Linked DNA regions of Arabidopsis thaliana. The protein of the gene in region 1 interacts with the protein of each later gene in a pairwise test. Each region holds a gene or a part of one and is shown in the gene's direction. Other genes may lie near its edges.

Region 1 (8,252 bases):
GTTTCGTATGAGTTTATCGCCAGTATGAGCTTACAACTAAATTGTCCAAAATTTACCAAAAAGAAAGACTCACATGGTCCTTTTTGTGCATCTTGGGCATTTGCTGGAAGAGCATTGGCACTAATCTTGAGGGAGTAAGAGGAACCAAAATAGAGATTTTCAGAAGCGCTGCATGCACCCGAGAAAGAACGTCTATCTTCTTGTTTAGTATACGGGAGTGCGAAAGGTTATTCACTACCCAAGGAGGTGGAACGAAGTTGCTTACGAGCATATTCAGACAAGAGTCTAAATACTTTCCACTAGTGACAGCCTGCGATGGAAAAAAGGCAAAAGTTAAATGGTCTAGCTCTTCATCTAGACTAATAACAATAGGCGGGTAAATGTTGAGTTGTGTACCAGTGATATGACAAGGTTCACCAATGCATCCATGACATCAGGTCTGTGGTCCCACAATTTCATTCGAAAAAGCTAGACATAACAATTGGGATGAAATCCAGGGTAAGATTTGGGAGGATCCATCTTAAAACTATTTAAATTGGAAGCAATTGTAAGCTCGTGCAATAGAAACTTACCGCAGAAAGAAGCTTTTGATGGTGAAGGACATCTATGCAAGCCACAGCGCCTGATAGAGCTTTCAAGACTGTCTGCCAGTTCAATTGAAAAATGAAAACACTTTAGCAAACAGAAAAAGAACAAATAAGAAAGAATTGATTGCCATACAAAGAATAGATCACACCTCAAGCTGCGCCACTACATCAGGATCCTTAAATTCTTTGATGTCCCGTGCCATAACTCCAACCATCTCACTATAAAGGTCTGAGTCCCCCTGTCATTAGCAAAGAATTAATAAAACTAGTATCAAGAAGCATAACAGATAATATAGCATCAAATATATATAACTGTAAACACATAAGCAGAGGAAGAAGCAAAACTTGCACAACACTCACAGTTTTGACAGATGTAAGAGCCTTTCTCACGGTCTGCACCAATTGCGTATCAGATAAATCAACGTTGTCCACATAGTTCTCGACTGTGCATAAGCTCGATGGATCACTCATAAGCTCTACTGCTCCCATCCTCTCTGGACTTAATGTAAATCGTGCTGCTACTTCAAGTTGCCGAAAGTGTGGAACTTTCCTGATGGACAAGAGAAGTATTAAGAAATCTCAAAACTTTCAACATTAACTTATACTCAAGACACCATAAACACTCAATTTAAACTCACTAGAAACAATATCTGGAAAAGTCTCTGAATTTAGACTAAATGTTAAGTATTGAAGCTATATAGACTATCAGCTGCGAAAATAGGGAAAGGAGAGCTATAAGAATCGATGTAACCAAGTAAAATCTCCATTGATTACAGATTTTACAAGAGAAAACTAGTATAAAGACACAAAATACGACGGTGAGAGAACTCACGAGGATGAATAATTGAAAGGGTCCGTCAGCTCAGGGAAACCCTTGTCACTGTCCCGTTCTGATAATTCCGGCCTTCGTTTTTTACTCCTTCGCTATGGTTTTTTCTTGGAGAAGAAAAATAGAGAAGGAGCAGATTCTGATGAAAGACGGCGATAATCGATAAATAATAGGAGACGTTTAGGGTTCACACTTACTTTTTCCTATTTCTTTAATTCCATCTTTTTTTTTCTTCACTATTGTCGTCATTACATCAAATTTTGTTTTCTATGTTTCTGTCGTGTGACAAACACAAATTTTTACTTAATTTAAGTAAGTGAACTATAGACATTATTTTTGGTTAATTGGTCTACTTTGATTGCTCACATAACCATAACTAAATAAGACCAAACCAGATATATATAAACCAAAACGAGAAAAGATTAGGGCCAACACACATACAAATTAGTTTCTCATTACAATTTTTACACCCAAAACAACAGACAAAAGAGCAATCAAAGCCAGCGGATACGAAAAGAAAACAACTCCATTTAAAGATCTAAAAATCTCAAGCATCGAGGTCAGCATCTTCATCCATCTCCTCTTTATACTCCTCTTCATCAGCTGTAGCATCTTGATATTGCTGATACTCAGCCACAAGATCGTTCATGTTACTCTCTGCTTCATTAAACTCCATCTCGTCCATTCCTTCTTCTGTGTACCAATGCAAGAAAGCTTATCTCAACATCAGGCTGATATAACCAATATCTTACTTCTTTTACATTTGTGAAATGGAACCAACCCATTTTTCTGGAAAAAGTGCTAACCAAACATTTGATTAACCGTATCACTACTACTTTCATTTCTATCTTCTGTTTCATTATGCTGACTATTTAAGCTCCGTTGTCAAATCTCTAAGTTAGACATAAAAGACAAAGACTAATCAATTGTCATCACACCAGCGTCGTCGAGTGAGCTATATTAATCGTGGATTTTAAGCATTAAAGAAACATTCTATAGTACTAAAGCAAATAAAATAATTATAATCAAACACTATGCTTGACACTGGTCACGTGTACTGGTAGTGAATGATTCTACATCATAAGAGGCCGCATCAAAATCCTAAAAATAAGCATAATGAATTAATCATTTACAAATTTTATTTTACTCAATAAGAAAATCGAAAGTATGATTATTATCTAGCTGCCACAATCTTCGAATTTAATATTTACTCAAGAAGAGACCGACTTTAATCCTTGACTTTCTCATTGCTCTATGGAAAATGATTAAAGCAGTCAATAAAATCTTTTGACATTGTTGGCAGAAGACCAATAATTCGAAGTCTAAAATGTAATCGTCCACACAGTGTATGAGTATCCTAGTATTTTTTTTCTTTTCCATATAAGTTGAATTTGTAATATATATAGTGTAATGTTGTTTATTTGTGGCAACGTACAAAATTGGGAATCCTATAAGTGCGACGACAAGTGACAAGACGAGGCTATGAACAGCTAATGTATGAAGAGAGCCAAAAGAGCAACAACCTGGCACAGCCGTTGTTTTTTTTGAATATATTGACGATTCGTTGGCCTCCGAGATCTAAGGCATCTCTCACAATCAACGGTCCAGATTCCATCTAGAAGATATATTACACCGACCTTGTTTTCTCTATCTAATTCTCACACACACACCAACGCAAACCTCCAAAACAGGGCCGGGGCGATTCATTCACAATCTCGGCGATTCTCTCTTCCGTCTCGAGTCGCTGAGATCCATCAGGTTCGTTTCTATTCGAATCTATTCTCTTGAATCCGTATTTGTTTCCTTTCCTCTCTAGATAGATTTCATTTTTCTGGAAACATTGAGATTTCCATTGATTTGATGTTTAGTGGTTTAGATCGGATAATTTTTGTTATTGACTCTCAAAAAACGAATCATAACTATCTTAAAACTTTGTTTACGCATTGTTATTGAAGGCTAAATAAAAAATGCTCAATTGTTGCTAGAAAGGAAGGTGTCTCGAAAACATGTGAATTTATTTTTTGAGCCTCATTGTTTCTCACTGCAACAATAGTGAATGATTCAATTGAAAAGAACTTTTGGTTAAGCCATTTTTCTCTTTAATAGATTATGTGTCTCAACTCAATTAGGAACTGTGTGTTTTTTTGTTTCCTTGATGTTAACTTGTGAGTTGATTTATTTGGGTAGTTTACTTGTATATATATTTGGTGGTGGGTCCTGGAGGGAAATGAGTGAGAGGGAGCTCTGTTCATACATTCTATGTTTTTAAATGATTAGTATTTTTCTTTCATCTAATACTTGCTTTTTGTGCTAGGAATTTCGATTTTTGGGACTAATTTATCGAGTATATATAATTGGATAAGTGAGTTTGGTATTAATATTAAGAGCAATTAGGTTGGTTATCTTGCCAAACAGTAGACCCCTGTCGTTTTCTTAGTCATTTAAGAAGTAATGCTTAAGATTCAGGCCTCTAATCTGGTTATGATAGTGAAGAGGATCTGTAAATTTACCTATACGACCTGTTGAAAAGGACCTCTGGTGTTTGTTACTATGCGTTTCTGATCAATATAGACATAGTTGGATCATATTCTTCTCTTGATCGTCTGTTTCATTTTTTTTCAAAATCAGTAAAAGGTCTGCAAAATGGTTGCTCAGGGATTCACTGTGGATCTTAAAAAGCCCCTTGTATTTCAGGTAATTACTGTTTCCCAGGGTTTTAAATAGTTTATGTCAACATTTTCCTTGAGACCATAGTCACCCAAGATTGTCTTCGTTTCTTTCTTAGAGCTAATCAAAGTAACGCTCTCTCTTTAACCCCTCCTGCCATTGCTTTGGATGTTTTACAGGTTGGTCATCTTGGAGAAGATTATGAGGAATGGGTTCACCAACCTATCGCGACCAAGGAAGGCCCTCGGTTTTTTCAGAGTGACTTTTGGGAGGTATATATTTTATTTTCATCTTTTCTCATTCTCAATTTCCAATATCAATAATAAGCAATGTCAATGAGACTCTGATCTCCATTCTCTGACGTATTTGCAATGAAACAGTTCTTGACACTTACAGTTTGGTGGGCAGTTCCTGTCATTTGGTTGCCAGTTGTAGTCTGGTGCATATCAAGGTCAGTAAGTATGGGATGTTCACTTCCAGAAATCGTCCCAATTGTTGTCATGGGAATATTCATCTGGACATTTTTTGAATACGTTCTTCACCGGTTCGTTTTCCACATAAAAACGAAGAGTTACTGGTTAGTCACTTTCTCCCTCTCTCTGTGTTACATTTCATAGAGACAGTACTCTCCTATGAATCCTCCTCAAACAGACAAATTCCTGGAAACATGACTTCGGTCAGATGCTAATGATTTTGTGAAACCACTCCAGGGGAAACACTGCACACTATCTTATTCACGGATGCCATCATAAGCACCCGATGGACCACCTTCGGCTCGTCTTTCCTCCTACTGCAACAGCGATTTTATGCTTTCCGGTATTTATCTACATTAACCCACCATTCTACATGTTTTCAGCGCCAACCCTAAACCGTTTTCTTTTCTTGTGTCCTAGTTCTGGAACATTGCGAAGGCTATCTCAACTCCTTCAACCGCACCTGCATTGTTTGGTGGAGGCATGCTCGGATATGTGATGTACGATGTCACTCATTATTACCTTCACCATGCCCAACCTACTAGACCAGTGACCAAAAATCTCAAGGTAAAACAATGTCAAGTCTCAAAACCTGGGACTTTCTTTTCTTTTGTATCCGGATTGCATAAAGAGAGCTTATTTGTTATGTTTTTTCTTATGATTCTGCAGAAGTACCATTTGAATCATCACTTCAGGATTCAGGACAAAGGATTTGGTATAACTTCGTCGTTATGGGACATAGTCTTTGGGACACTTCCCACCACAAAAGCCCCCAGAAAAGAGCAATAGTAGTAAAAGGCAAAAACTAAAAAGATGTTTGTAATACATTTAATTTAATCTTAAGTTATTAATCATCCTTCTGAATTTTGAGATGTTTAATCTGAGGTTTCATTTGGATCACTGTCTTTTGTAGTTTGTAAATCAATACTTCACAATCCTAATATAATATTTTTCTGCGAAAGCAATAAAAAATCTACTAACATGAACATCTGTGTCTTGACTTTGGCCATATATATATTTCTTGAATTGACAGACATTTTGCAATAAATATCCGAAGTTTAAAAAAGACAACCAAATATGGGAAGAGAAACTAAAAATTAAAAAAAATCGTTATTGGGCTGGGCCTGGGTAAAGAAATAAAATCAACACTCACTCACCGACCCGCCCGGAAATCCAAATCGCTCGAGGTCTAATCTGACTCCTCCTCGATTCCTTCTTCTCAAACTGACTGCACTCTTCCTTCTTTCTTCTGCTCACTGAAAATTAGGGTTTAGGGTTTTTGATTTTCGTTCTCTATTAGTTTCTCCCCCTCACTCTCATGGCGATGAATTTTCAATTTATGTGAGATTTTATTCCACAATCGGAATAATTTTCCTGGCAATGGCGACGACCAATGCTCCACCTGAGCTAGCTTCAGGAAACCCTTGCTGCCTCGCTGTATGTATTCGATTTTTGTCCATTTATGTTGTTTAGTGCTTTTCTTCAAAGAAATCTTATTCTCGTCTTCCTTTGATTGTATTTCAGTGGCAAGGGAAGTACATAGGAATGAAGAAGAGGCGAGATGCTTTTAAAGAAGGAGTAACTCTTCTCCAGAAGGCTATAGAAAATGTTAATGCTGAAAAATCCAATCTCGAGAGAAGTAAGTTCCTTTTACTCCTTGTGGCAGAGATTAGCTCGCTCCCTTTTGATGTGTTGTGTTTCTGTTACTGATTAATTTTGTTTATGGTACATGATCCATTGTTATGCCTTTGATTTGATGTAGCTAATTCTCCAATTGATGATTCTTTGGCGATTATGATTGAATTATGGTATGCTTTAAAACTGGGCTTTGTGGCTTGGTTGGAAAGATGTTGTTGTTACTACAGTTCCAAATCTTAATTTTGATTTTTTTACTGGTCTATCTGCTGAATCCTACAGAATTTGGGGAGATGGCGACTGACGGAGATACTAAGGAAAATGGTTCAACTGTGAAAGCATCTTTGGAGAAAGAAATATCTCGTTTGAAGTTTGAGATAGTGTCTTTGCAACAAAAACTGGAGCGGAACCTTAAAGAAAAAAGTGAAGAAACAAAGCTTCTTCAGGATCAAGCTTCTGGTCGAGAAAAGGAGATCAATGAACTGAGGGATCTCCTTAAGAAAGAAACATTAAGGGCAGATAGTTCTGAAGAAGAGAGGGAACATGCTTTTAAGGAACTGAACAAGGCAAAGGCTCTGATAGTAAAAGATGAGGAAATCGAGCAAGATATTCCTGAAGTAAAAAGGGAAATAAGTCTGGTTAAAAATCTTCTTGCTAGTGAGAGACAGAAGACAGAGTCAGAGAGGAAGAAAGCAGAATCAGAGAAAAAGAAAGCTGATAAGTATCTTTCGGAGTTGGAGGTGTTAAGAAATTCAGCTCATAAGACTAGTTCTGATTTACTTACTTTGACCTCCAATCTTGAGACTGTAAAAAAGCAGCTTGAGCTTGAAAAACAGAAGACACTGAAAGAGAAAAAACGTGCAGATATGGAGAGTGCAAAAGCTAGGGACCAGATGAAGCTGGCAGAAGATGTGTCTAAGAAGTTTGAAATCGTTAGAGCAAGAAATGAAGAGCTCAAGAAAGAAATGGAATCGCAGACCGCTAGTAGCCAAGTGAAGTTTGCTGAAAACTCGGAAAAGCTGGAAGAGAAGATAAGGCTCCTTGAGATGAATAAAAAAACAGCCATGGACTGGAAATCTCGTACTGATGATCTGACTCAACAGTTACAAGAAGCGCAATTAGTCGCTGAAGGTTTGAAGAAACAAGTGCATGAGCTTTCACTTTCCCAGAAATCCATCAAGACTCACTCTATTTCTCCTCAGAAAGTCAGAGACCTGGAAAAGGCTGAAATGAGGCTTTTGAAAAAAAAGATGAAGTTTGAGAGAAATTGTGCAAAACACTCCCAAACAGTGGCTAAATTTGAAAAGTTTCGAAGGGAATTTCAGTGCGAAGAGCTAGGTCGGTTGAAACTGGAGTTCGGTAGTCTTACGAATCGCATGAATCTACTGGATGAGTATTTTTCAACAGACGTTGAAGGTACAGCTGGCCTTGGAAAGGTTTGTTTCTGCCATAGTTTTTGTACACTTTGTCTCCTTATCGTTATTTGAAAATTGGCTTGATGACCATAGACATGTTATGAAATTTGATACATAGAAGGTGAATCTGACTATAGAAGATGACAACCCAAAAAAATGTTTTAATATTTGGAATAGTGACCTTTATCTTAACATGGTTTATTTACAGCATCATACCACTTTTATACGTTGCTGTTTTTGATTATTTTAATTCCTTTTTAGTCTCCTTATGCTCATCTTATTGCTATGCAGGCTACAGGATGCAGGAAACTGCTGACGCTAAATTCACAGAAGAACCGTAATGGTGAAAAGCATTCTGACGCAAGATGCAAATTGGTAGCCAGCTCAGGTTATCAGGAGCAGGCTTGCAAGTTGTCTGCCCACTTAATTTCTAAATCTGGACGGGGCGTGAGTGAGTCTGTCTCAGGTACTATTTCTCAATTGGAGTCTCCTACTGGAGGCTCTAGAAAATTACCGAGTTCTGGAGTAATTTCCAGCGCAACATCTTTTTCTGATGGGCAGTTACTGGCATCACAGGGAAGAGAGCAGTTCTCTGTTACTACTTCAGCAGAAATAGCAAAAGATAAACCGAATATCCAACCAACAA
Region 2 (8,577 bases), 790 kb from region 1:
TCTGGTAGACTTTTACAAGTAAACTAAGCACCTGAAAGAGTAGACAAGTATGTCATCACCTTTTTTAAATAAAGACTAAACTAAACAGCCTAGACTAAAAGACCTAGAAAAGGGAGATTTTTTTAATTCAGGCCTTGACACATCTCAGATAGGTATCACGAAAACTGAAACAGGACTTTTGGCTACAGCTTAGGACATAGAGGATGCTAGCATACATGTTTGCAGGCATGGTAATGGAAGATGCAACATAGAAACTAAATGGTCACATTATCTTCCAGATGAGGCAAAACTATACAGTTCTAATCAGTCGATAGAATTAGAACACCTTTCTACTTAACTATTGTCTAAGAACATCAGTCTCACCTCATGTCTGTACTCTCTGCGGTTGACAAAGGAATGAGAAACATTGATGCAATATGATAAAGTTCCCTGAACATTATCGCTCTTAATGATAGCTTCTTCCAACTTATCCAATCTCCGGCATTCTATCGCAATGCCCATGGCTTGTTGATACTTCCCATCACTGATGCATCTGCAGAAGGAAAACCATGTAAGAAGAATTGAAGCACTATGAAAACAAGAGCATTAAATGTATAAGCATTGCATACTTTCCAAGCATTCTTTCAACAATCGCCTCTAGCCTGGGATCAATGTCCACCATCTCATTTGACTCAACTGCCTTTGATCTGAGACTGGCATATTCGTCTATTGCTTTGGCTGAAATTTTAAAAGAAGCATCTGATGAGTATACATTCATCCAGCATTTATTAAAACTCAAATAGTCAACTTATCTGTCTTTTTCTAGTATTATACTACTTAAAGGCAGAACAATATCTGGATGTACAAGCTTCAAGTCTACTTTTAAGATAATAAGTCGTGCAGGCTATATAGGCTTTTCTTGCCTTGAGAGTTGAGACAAGTTGATTTGGTAAGCAATTTGCATTAAACAGTTACCCTAGCTAGAGTCTACAGACAGAGAACAGCATGAAGAGAGTAAAAACATCAACAAACTTCTCAATCCTCACCCAGAAGCGTATGAACATAATCAGAATCCTCTGAAACATCAAATAAGGGACCGGCTCCTAGGGCATAAGACAGCGAATCATTAAGCTCGCCCAAGTAATAGAAAACCTGCGATAAAACAACCACGATCATCAAGAAACCCATATCTTGTAAAACAAACATATAACGTGATTAGAAAAAGGCTACGTCCCAAAATTCTACCACTATCCACCAGCTCTTAAGGAGAAAAATAACCATAATGTATTCAGAGCAACAATTAAACATTCCTCCACTAACATATAGCAAATATTATCCGCAACTAGACAAAACTTAAGTTTAACAATCGTGAAATCGCACCTTAGAGACCAGCAAAGCAGCAAGCTGTCTTTGATGCAGATCGAATTCTTCATCTTCATATAAACTCTCACTGTAAAAAAAAAAATTCTCTCGAGTCAAGCTGTCAAGTAGTGCAAATCATTAAAGAGAGATTATCATAAAACCCTAAGCATTGCGCCAGCACAGCCTCTACAACTGGAATCTATACCACTAGAATGTACGATGATAAACCAAAACGAATCCAAGCCTTTACATTACATGAGTAAAAGAACATAATCATGTCCAGGAAGAAGTTAGATACAATTACTCATTCATAATCTATAAAGATCACTACAGAACTTGCTAAAGCTAGTCATGTAAAATAAAAAACTTTACTTTTCTTATCCTACCCATTGAATCTGCATCGCCACAAACTATCAATCCCTCACTCAAAATTTTGAACTTTAATACCCAAATCGAGAAGACCTACACACAACCACAGCTCAAACAATCCAAATCCCACAATCTTCTCTAGAATATCCCGAATAAAAAAACAGATCAAGTGAGAGAACAAAACCCTAAATCTCAAACCGGAAAAAAAGGGTTTAAAAGAGAATTACATGATGGGGACACTAGTGGAGATCTCAGGCCAGAATTGGTCAACCAAATTGTTGAGGTTAGAGAGCGCATGAAGCTTCAAAACAGGATGAGGCTCGTTGAGCATTGCTAGTAATCCTCCAGCGGAACTAACCATGGGTGTCGCCATTGATGGAGAACACTAAATCGAAATCGAAATAAACCCTAAGAGAAAGCTAATCAGATGACGAAAGATTCGAACTTTCGATGAGACTCGTCTTGAATCTCTCTACTGGATTTGAAGAAGAGTGTTTTCCTTATTTATTTTAGTTTATAGGACGAAAGTAAAAATAAAAGGAGATTTGGGAGAAGATAGTAAGTCAGGGACTTGGATGCAAACTACGAATATTTAGAGACTTACCCAACAAGTCAGGATATTAAAAACTGCCCCGAATGTATAGCTTTATTATGATTTTAGTCTCAAGTTTTGTGTTATTGAGTTATGGATCCAATATATTTTGAAGATTTACAAAAACTCCTTATTGCTTTTACAAAATTGGTTGGTCATACAATTTTAAGTTTTAGGAGCTTTTAGGATACCCTAATTGCTAAATTATCATCATATCATATCAATAAAATGTGTTGCAATTCAGAACATAATACAAAGCTTTATAGAGATATGCAAGGCATCATAGAGAAATTAATAAACTTACAGTCGGTTAATCAAATTTTATAAACAAAATTATCATAAATCGATTCAGCTCATTACACGAAATGGTAAGCGTAAACTATGATGATGGTGTGGTCGACCATTAGCTCGATTATGTAACAAAGTCATCTAGTTATTTAGCTTATAAATCATTTCAAGATGTAATTCAAAAACATATGCATTCAATTTTTTTTTTAGTTATCTGTTTATCGTATCAGAAGTTCAATGAAAATAGTGTATGAACAAACAAACACGATTTTAGTTATTTATATTTATTGTTCATTTTAAAATTATATATATATTAGTTTTTTTTAATGTGTAAATTGTATTTAATATTTTCAAAGCAACAATTTTTAGTATTGAAAAAGATTTGGTGGTCCTAAAAGTATAACTTTTTCTTTTAATAACATTATTTGGTACTAAAAAACATAAAGAAAATGATGGTTCTAATCTTTTGGTTAACCTGCTTGTTTTTCTCTAGAGAACATGGCTAATGTATTTTTTTCATTGTCGATGGTTCAAATTTGAAACTTCTCAGACCTCTTTTCGTTTACAAGGTCAGAAATTCACCGGTCAATCTATTGATTTTGAATAATATGTACATTTTATATAAGCTTTAGAAAGAAAAAGATTTGTGTCCCTAATAAATAAGGTCAGTTGGTATGAAGCAGCGGCAATTTATTTTTCTTATGTAGTTGTATCTACTAATATAAAACTACATAAATATTACTTATGAGAAAAGAATTCATATGTACCATAATAAAATTTATTGCACATCATTCACCTACCGATCTTGAATGAAAAAGGCAGAATTAGAGCGCACAACCGCAACATTTGCACTGCCTACCTACCTACCCCATCCACTCAACCGGAAATAACAACTACTACCAAACCACTTAACCCATCGGTTCAACATTGGCACATATGTTTTCAAAATCGTACAGATGAATACCATAAGGCCAAAACAGTAGAGCAGCAATTAGGTACAGACTATGTGAGAACAAACTCAAAATCAATTTTCATTAAACCGGTTTTCAAAGCTTCCAAAACTCACCAACCGATTACTTTGAGAACGAACCAAATTAAACCGGAATTTAACTGATTCGTCAAATGGTCTTTAACTCAACAACTCTCTCTCACACTCTTGTATAAAGTTTTGAGCTTTAAGTCTCAGAGTCAGGTTTTGGTGGGTTAATTCTGGTAGACAAGAATCAAACAAACAATGGGAGACGAAGCAAAGATCTTCACTCTTTCAGAAGTTTCAGAGCATAATCAAGCTCATGACTGTTGGATTGTCATCAATGGAAAGGTTTCATTCTTCTTTCTCCTTATTCTCACCTCTGAAATTAGAGATCTCGTGCTTCAAAGTTTCCCCTTTTGGTGTTTGCATGAGATTAAGCTTTTGAAGTCTCAGATTTCTAAGTCTAAAATTATCAGATCAAATCTTTAGATGGGTAGAGAGAGTAGAAAATGGTGTAGTTATTAAGCTTATGCTGAAGATTTAGCTCTTTTGATCTATTTATCAGCTGAAAATTTTCTAATTTTGATTGAAGATGGAGAAATGTAGAAATAGTTCTTATTGTCTTTAGAGTTTGTTTGATCGACATCAACCTTTCTTGGGATGGACTACTGACACTTGTCGATTAGTTGTTTGCCCTGAAGATCGATCGTTTTTGTATTGTGATTATTAACTTGTGAAGGAATCTGTAGATACATCCTTGAGCCTCCCTTCATAGTGAACTTGATTTTTGTTTTCTTCATTGATTGGTTTGTGAAATCAGTAGATTATCACAAGAAAGTAGGAAACATTAAATGTTTTGGTCTGTTGTTCCATCAGTAGTTTATGTTTCTTATTAATATTGTCACTTAAGTTCATTTTTTTTGGGAGTTTACCTCTGTGCAACAAGTTTGCTATGTACACAGAACAATCCTTTTTATCAAGTTCAGAAGATCCCAAATGTATCTCTGGACTTGGTTGTTGGTACAGTAATTTGTTTCAAGTATTCATCTTTCTATTCCTATTGTTTGATTTTTAGAGTTATATGCACCATATCTTGTTTAGTCCAAAGAAAGCGATAACCTAAGAACTTTTCTTTTTGTTGCTCCATTGTTTCTTACATTTTAATCATAAGCCTCAGAAGTGGATCTTCCCATGTTTTAAACTTCTTGATTTGACAAGAAATCTTCAAAGTTCAGAAGTTCTGTAATTGGGTTTCATTTGCCTCTCCTAACTTCACACATTTGCAAAAAAATGCAGGTGTACAATGTGACCAAGTTTCTTGAAGACCATCCAGGTGGGGACGATGTTCTCTTGTCTTCAACAGGTCTGTATAAACACAACTATCACCATGCTCCCGGCTTAGTGGAGATCAATCCATCGGTTTTTGATTCTTATTCTCTTTTCAGGTAAGGATGCAACGGATGATTTTGAGGACGTGGGTCACAGCGAGAGTGCAAGAGAAATGATGGAGCAGTACTACGTAGGAGAGATTGATCCAACAACAATACCAAAGAAAGTCAAATACACACCTCCTAAACAGCCTCACTACAATCAAGACAAGACCTCTGAATTCATAATCAAGCTCCTCCAGTTCCTCGTACCCCTTGCCATTCTTGGTTTAGCAGTCGGAATCCGTATCTACACCAAATCAGGGTAGGCTTCTTTTTTTTCTGAGCATTACTTCCTTATATCTTATATATAGAGAGAAAGATTCAAGTCTTTTGAAAAGACAAATCTGAAAGTCTCTCCCTTTGTTATTGTCTCTTCCCATATTTTGCTGTTTGAATGTATTTTGGATAATTTCTTATCTATTGTGGTGTAACTGCATATAAACAACAGTCTTGTTGGTGTTTTTGCCTTATGCAACTAATGAACATCTCATCTATATTTCAGATTCTGAAACCGAAGTTATGACTAATAAGTGATCTGTTTTGAAAGTCTGGTTTAGTATTGTTTGAGATCTGTAGAAGAAAAGTAACCAAGGAACTATCAAAACAAGGCCATGATCTTACTAATTGAATGCTTAAGAGAACACTTAATTAACTTTGAGAAAAGGAGAAACAAAAACAACAGATTACGAATTCCAAAGAGAAAGAGACGTTTGTTTTGGCAGTTACTTGATAGAGTGTGTGGCAGTTAGTGACTTGAGCTCACAAAAACATATCCACACGAAGAATCCAAAAACTCTTCTGCAACTGTAGGACCCTCTTTTTGTACCTCTTTACCGCTTTGGCCGCAAGAAGTCGCAACCGCAGACACAAAGTTCGATACTTGTAACTTCGAGAGCAATAAATTTCATTTAAGTAAAGATTGGAATGGATTCTGTGGCAAGTTGACAACTATGGACTGTTTCATTCAAAACGTTGTCGTGTGTAGACTCAAATCAATACAATCAGAAAACGAATCTTATGACAAGCAAAGACGCGACGAAGTTTCGATGATTGATCAAAAGACGATCACCATAATGATGATGATGATGATGATATGTAGTGAGTGGGTACGAATTACATATTTAAGATAATATAGTGGGCACAAATCTCACAGAGTGGAAAGTACAATGGACTCACACAAGAGCAAGAGAAAGAGAAAGAGAATCTTTTTCTAACACTTTTGATTTTAGTGAGAAGACAGAGACAAAACAAAGACCACTATGAGACACTATCCATATCCATAACGAACAGCTTCTCTGTCTCTCTATTATCAGTATACAATTGTGTATATATAGACATGTATTACCTACCTGTCATTGTGATGTTATATGTCTGAAGAACACAACACATGGACCATAATGATGATGATGATAAGAACAAGAACTTAAGATGAAGAGAACAAAAAAGAGAAGGATAAGTCTTTATTGAAAAGAGTTTGAGATCAGTACATGTATACACATAAAAGGATAGATTTTTTAAAATGGTTACAGGACAAAGAGTTTTAAGAGAATGCAGAGTCCCCCTGTACCGGAATTCATAAAAGAAAACACTGACCCTTAAACCGAAAGAACTCTAAACCCTAAACGCTAAACCCTAAACAGACTTTGGGTTACTTCTAAAAACCTTCTCTTATGGCTTTAGTACTACTACTAAGGTGATCTGTATAGGCTTAAAAAGGATTGGTATCAAGTTCTGTTACACAAACCCTTTTCAGCCACTTATGTTACAGACACCAATTTAAAAACACTACATGGGTTTTTTCTCCTAAGCTCTTTACATGTTGAAAAAGTTAAGAAAACGGATGATGGTAATAAGATCAAACCGATAATTAGCAGGAAAATGTTAATATATTCTGTATTAACTATTAACCCCCCATTTTTTTGTTGTTTCTAATCATCTACCTTCGTCCATTCAAACCGTCCTGGTAGTGGTTGTTCGTTCACAGGATCAAAGTTGTACCTGAAGAAAGAGTTGACAGAAACCATTAGAGACACAAGACCAAAAGAGAAGAACAGAACAAACTGGAAACTCATAACCAAAAGAACAGAACAGATGAAACGAGGAAACACATACTTCTCAATGAATTGCTTCTGTTGTTCTTCTTCAGCACCCGAGAAAAACTCGTCCATTTCAGGTGTAGTTGGTCGGCGACGATGGCTGCGTGACAAACTGTCTTCTCTCTGGTTGCTTTCACTTACACAAATGTTAAGCTTTGTAGACGATCCCGGGGTTGTCATGATTTCAGGCCTTCTTATCAAACTGCATGGTGTGGATTCCCTTGTGGTCCTGTTGAAGCTGAGAGTAAGTAATATGTTACTTTCATACAATGCTCTCAAGGAAAAAGCACATAACCGTGTTTCCTTAATTAGCAGCAAAAGCAAGCAAACTTTATTGCATATAGATAACTAAAACTAAGCAAGTCATGTTTAACTGAAAAAAGGACAAGGAGAAACTCCTTGTTGATTTGTGGTTCAAAGTTCACAAAGCATAAAACCAAAGAAGAAACTTCCAATGAAGATTACTTCAGCAATGCTTGAAAAGTTAATGACTCATACAATGTTCAACAAGATCACGACTTTAGACTGAAATCATAACATCAAAAAACAACCAAACAGCAAGAAAAATTAAAAGACAGAGAAACTAGAACTTAAGATGTTACAGAGACACATCATATACTTTGCAGAATCCCAAAAACGAACCAAACTTTAAAGAGTTACTTACAGAGACATTTCAAACACAAATCCAACATTCTTTACATGAAAGCAGATAAAAAGTCTGAAGAAAAAACAATAGTCACTATCACCTTCTTCAAAGTAATTGAAGAAAAAATAAAAACTTTCTCAAGAAAAAAGAAACACATTTTTGATTAATTATATATATTTTCTTTCCCGGAAACAGAGAGAAGAGTCTGGTGTTGTCAGATAAAGAAAAGATGGCATCATATCATACACATGGTAAAAATATCATTAAATTTCAAAATCGAAAACGCCAGTTTCAATTTTAACCAAATACAAGACAAAAAATTGATCCTTTTTTCAAATTAACAACGGAAATTTTCAAATCCAATACCAAAGTTTTCTCAAGAAACAGAACAAATTCACACAGATTCATAAAAATAAGAAATCCCCCAAAAAATTAGGTTGAAATTGATGAAGAAAGATGATACCTTTGAGTGTGTTCTTCTTCAAGGTCGAAGAAATTTTGGCCAAAGGTTGGATCTTTATTGATTTCAGAAATCAAATCCTTGTCTTTACCAAAGACAACACTTTCAGAAACAGAATCAGACCTAGACCCATCACCACGAATCGAATCCAAATTACTCCTAGGGTTAGGGTTTCTTCCGCATGTCTCATTCCTCCGTTGCTGTTTCCTCCGTTTAGTAGAACGAATCACAACAATTGGTGGTTTCTTCTGAAGCCGACGACTCCGTAGCTGAAGATACGAACCACAATCGTTCATCTGCTGCTGCTTCTTCTTCATCTTCTGCTTTGACGGTGGATTAGGAGAAGCAGAAGTCGGTGGTAACGAAGAAGGAGAAGAGGGTT

The links. Proteins that work in one complex are often made in the same cells at the same time.
Region 2: the proteins of FAH1 (region 1) and CB5-B interact in a protein complementation assay, tested with the Arabidopsis thaliana proteins (one study listed by BioGRID).

Annotation. Positions count from the first base shown.
Region 1 is NC_003071.7:14,662,717-14,670,968, forward strand, and holds FAH1 (fatty acid hydroxylase 1), read left to right. Parts: upstream 1-2,950; 5' UTR 2,951-3,174; exon of another isoform or gene 3,175-3,360; intron 3,361-4,044; 5' UTR 4,045-4,059; coding exon 4,060-4,110; intron 4,111-4,262; coding exon 4,263-4,355; intron 4,356-4,463; coding exon 4,464-4,660; exon of another isoform or gene 4,661-4,793; coding exon 4,794-4,899; intron 4,900-4,976; coding exon 4,977-5,123; intron 5,124-5,225; coding exon 5,226-5,345; 3' UTR 5,346-5,534; downstream 5,535-8,252. Other genes in the region: AT2G34750 (RNA polymerase I specific transcription initiation factor RRN3 protein), read right to left, coding at 74-310, 397-468, 573-644, 737-826, 948-1,076; MEE22 (maternal effect embryo arrest 22), read left to right, coding at 5,937-5,993, 6,081-6,195, 6,474-7,627, 7,898-8,252. UniProt on the Arabidopsis thaliana protein: Fatty acid 2-hydroxylase involved in the alpha-hydroxylation of sphingolipid-associated very long-chain fatty acids (VLCFA). Probably involved in the resistance response to oxidative stress.
Region 2 is NC_003071.7:13,873,695-13,882,271, reverse strand, and holds CB5-B (cytochrome B5), read left to right. Parts: upstream 1-3,561; 5' UTR 3,562-3,824; coding exon 3,825-3,911; intron 3,912-3,913; exon of another isoform or gene 3,914-4,515; coding exon of another isoform or gene 4,516-4,602; intron 4,603-4,859; coding exon 4,860-4,926; intron 4,927-5,008; coding exon 5,009-5,259; 3' UTR 5,260-6,460; downstream 6,461-8,577. Other genes in the region: AT2G32730 (26S proteasome regulatory complex, non-ATPase subcomplex, Rpn2/Psmd1 subunit), read right to left, coding at 1-31, 364-532, 609-717, 1,026-1,131, 1,360-1,429, 1,938-2,083; AT2G32710 (Cyclin-dependent kinase inhibitor family protein), read right to left, coding at 6,922-6,991, 7,106-7,327, 8,199-8,577. UniProt on the Arabidopsis thaliana protein: Membrane bound hemoprotein which function as an electron carrier for several membrane bound oxygenases, including fatty acid desaturases.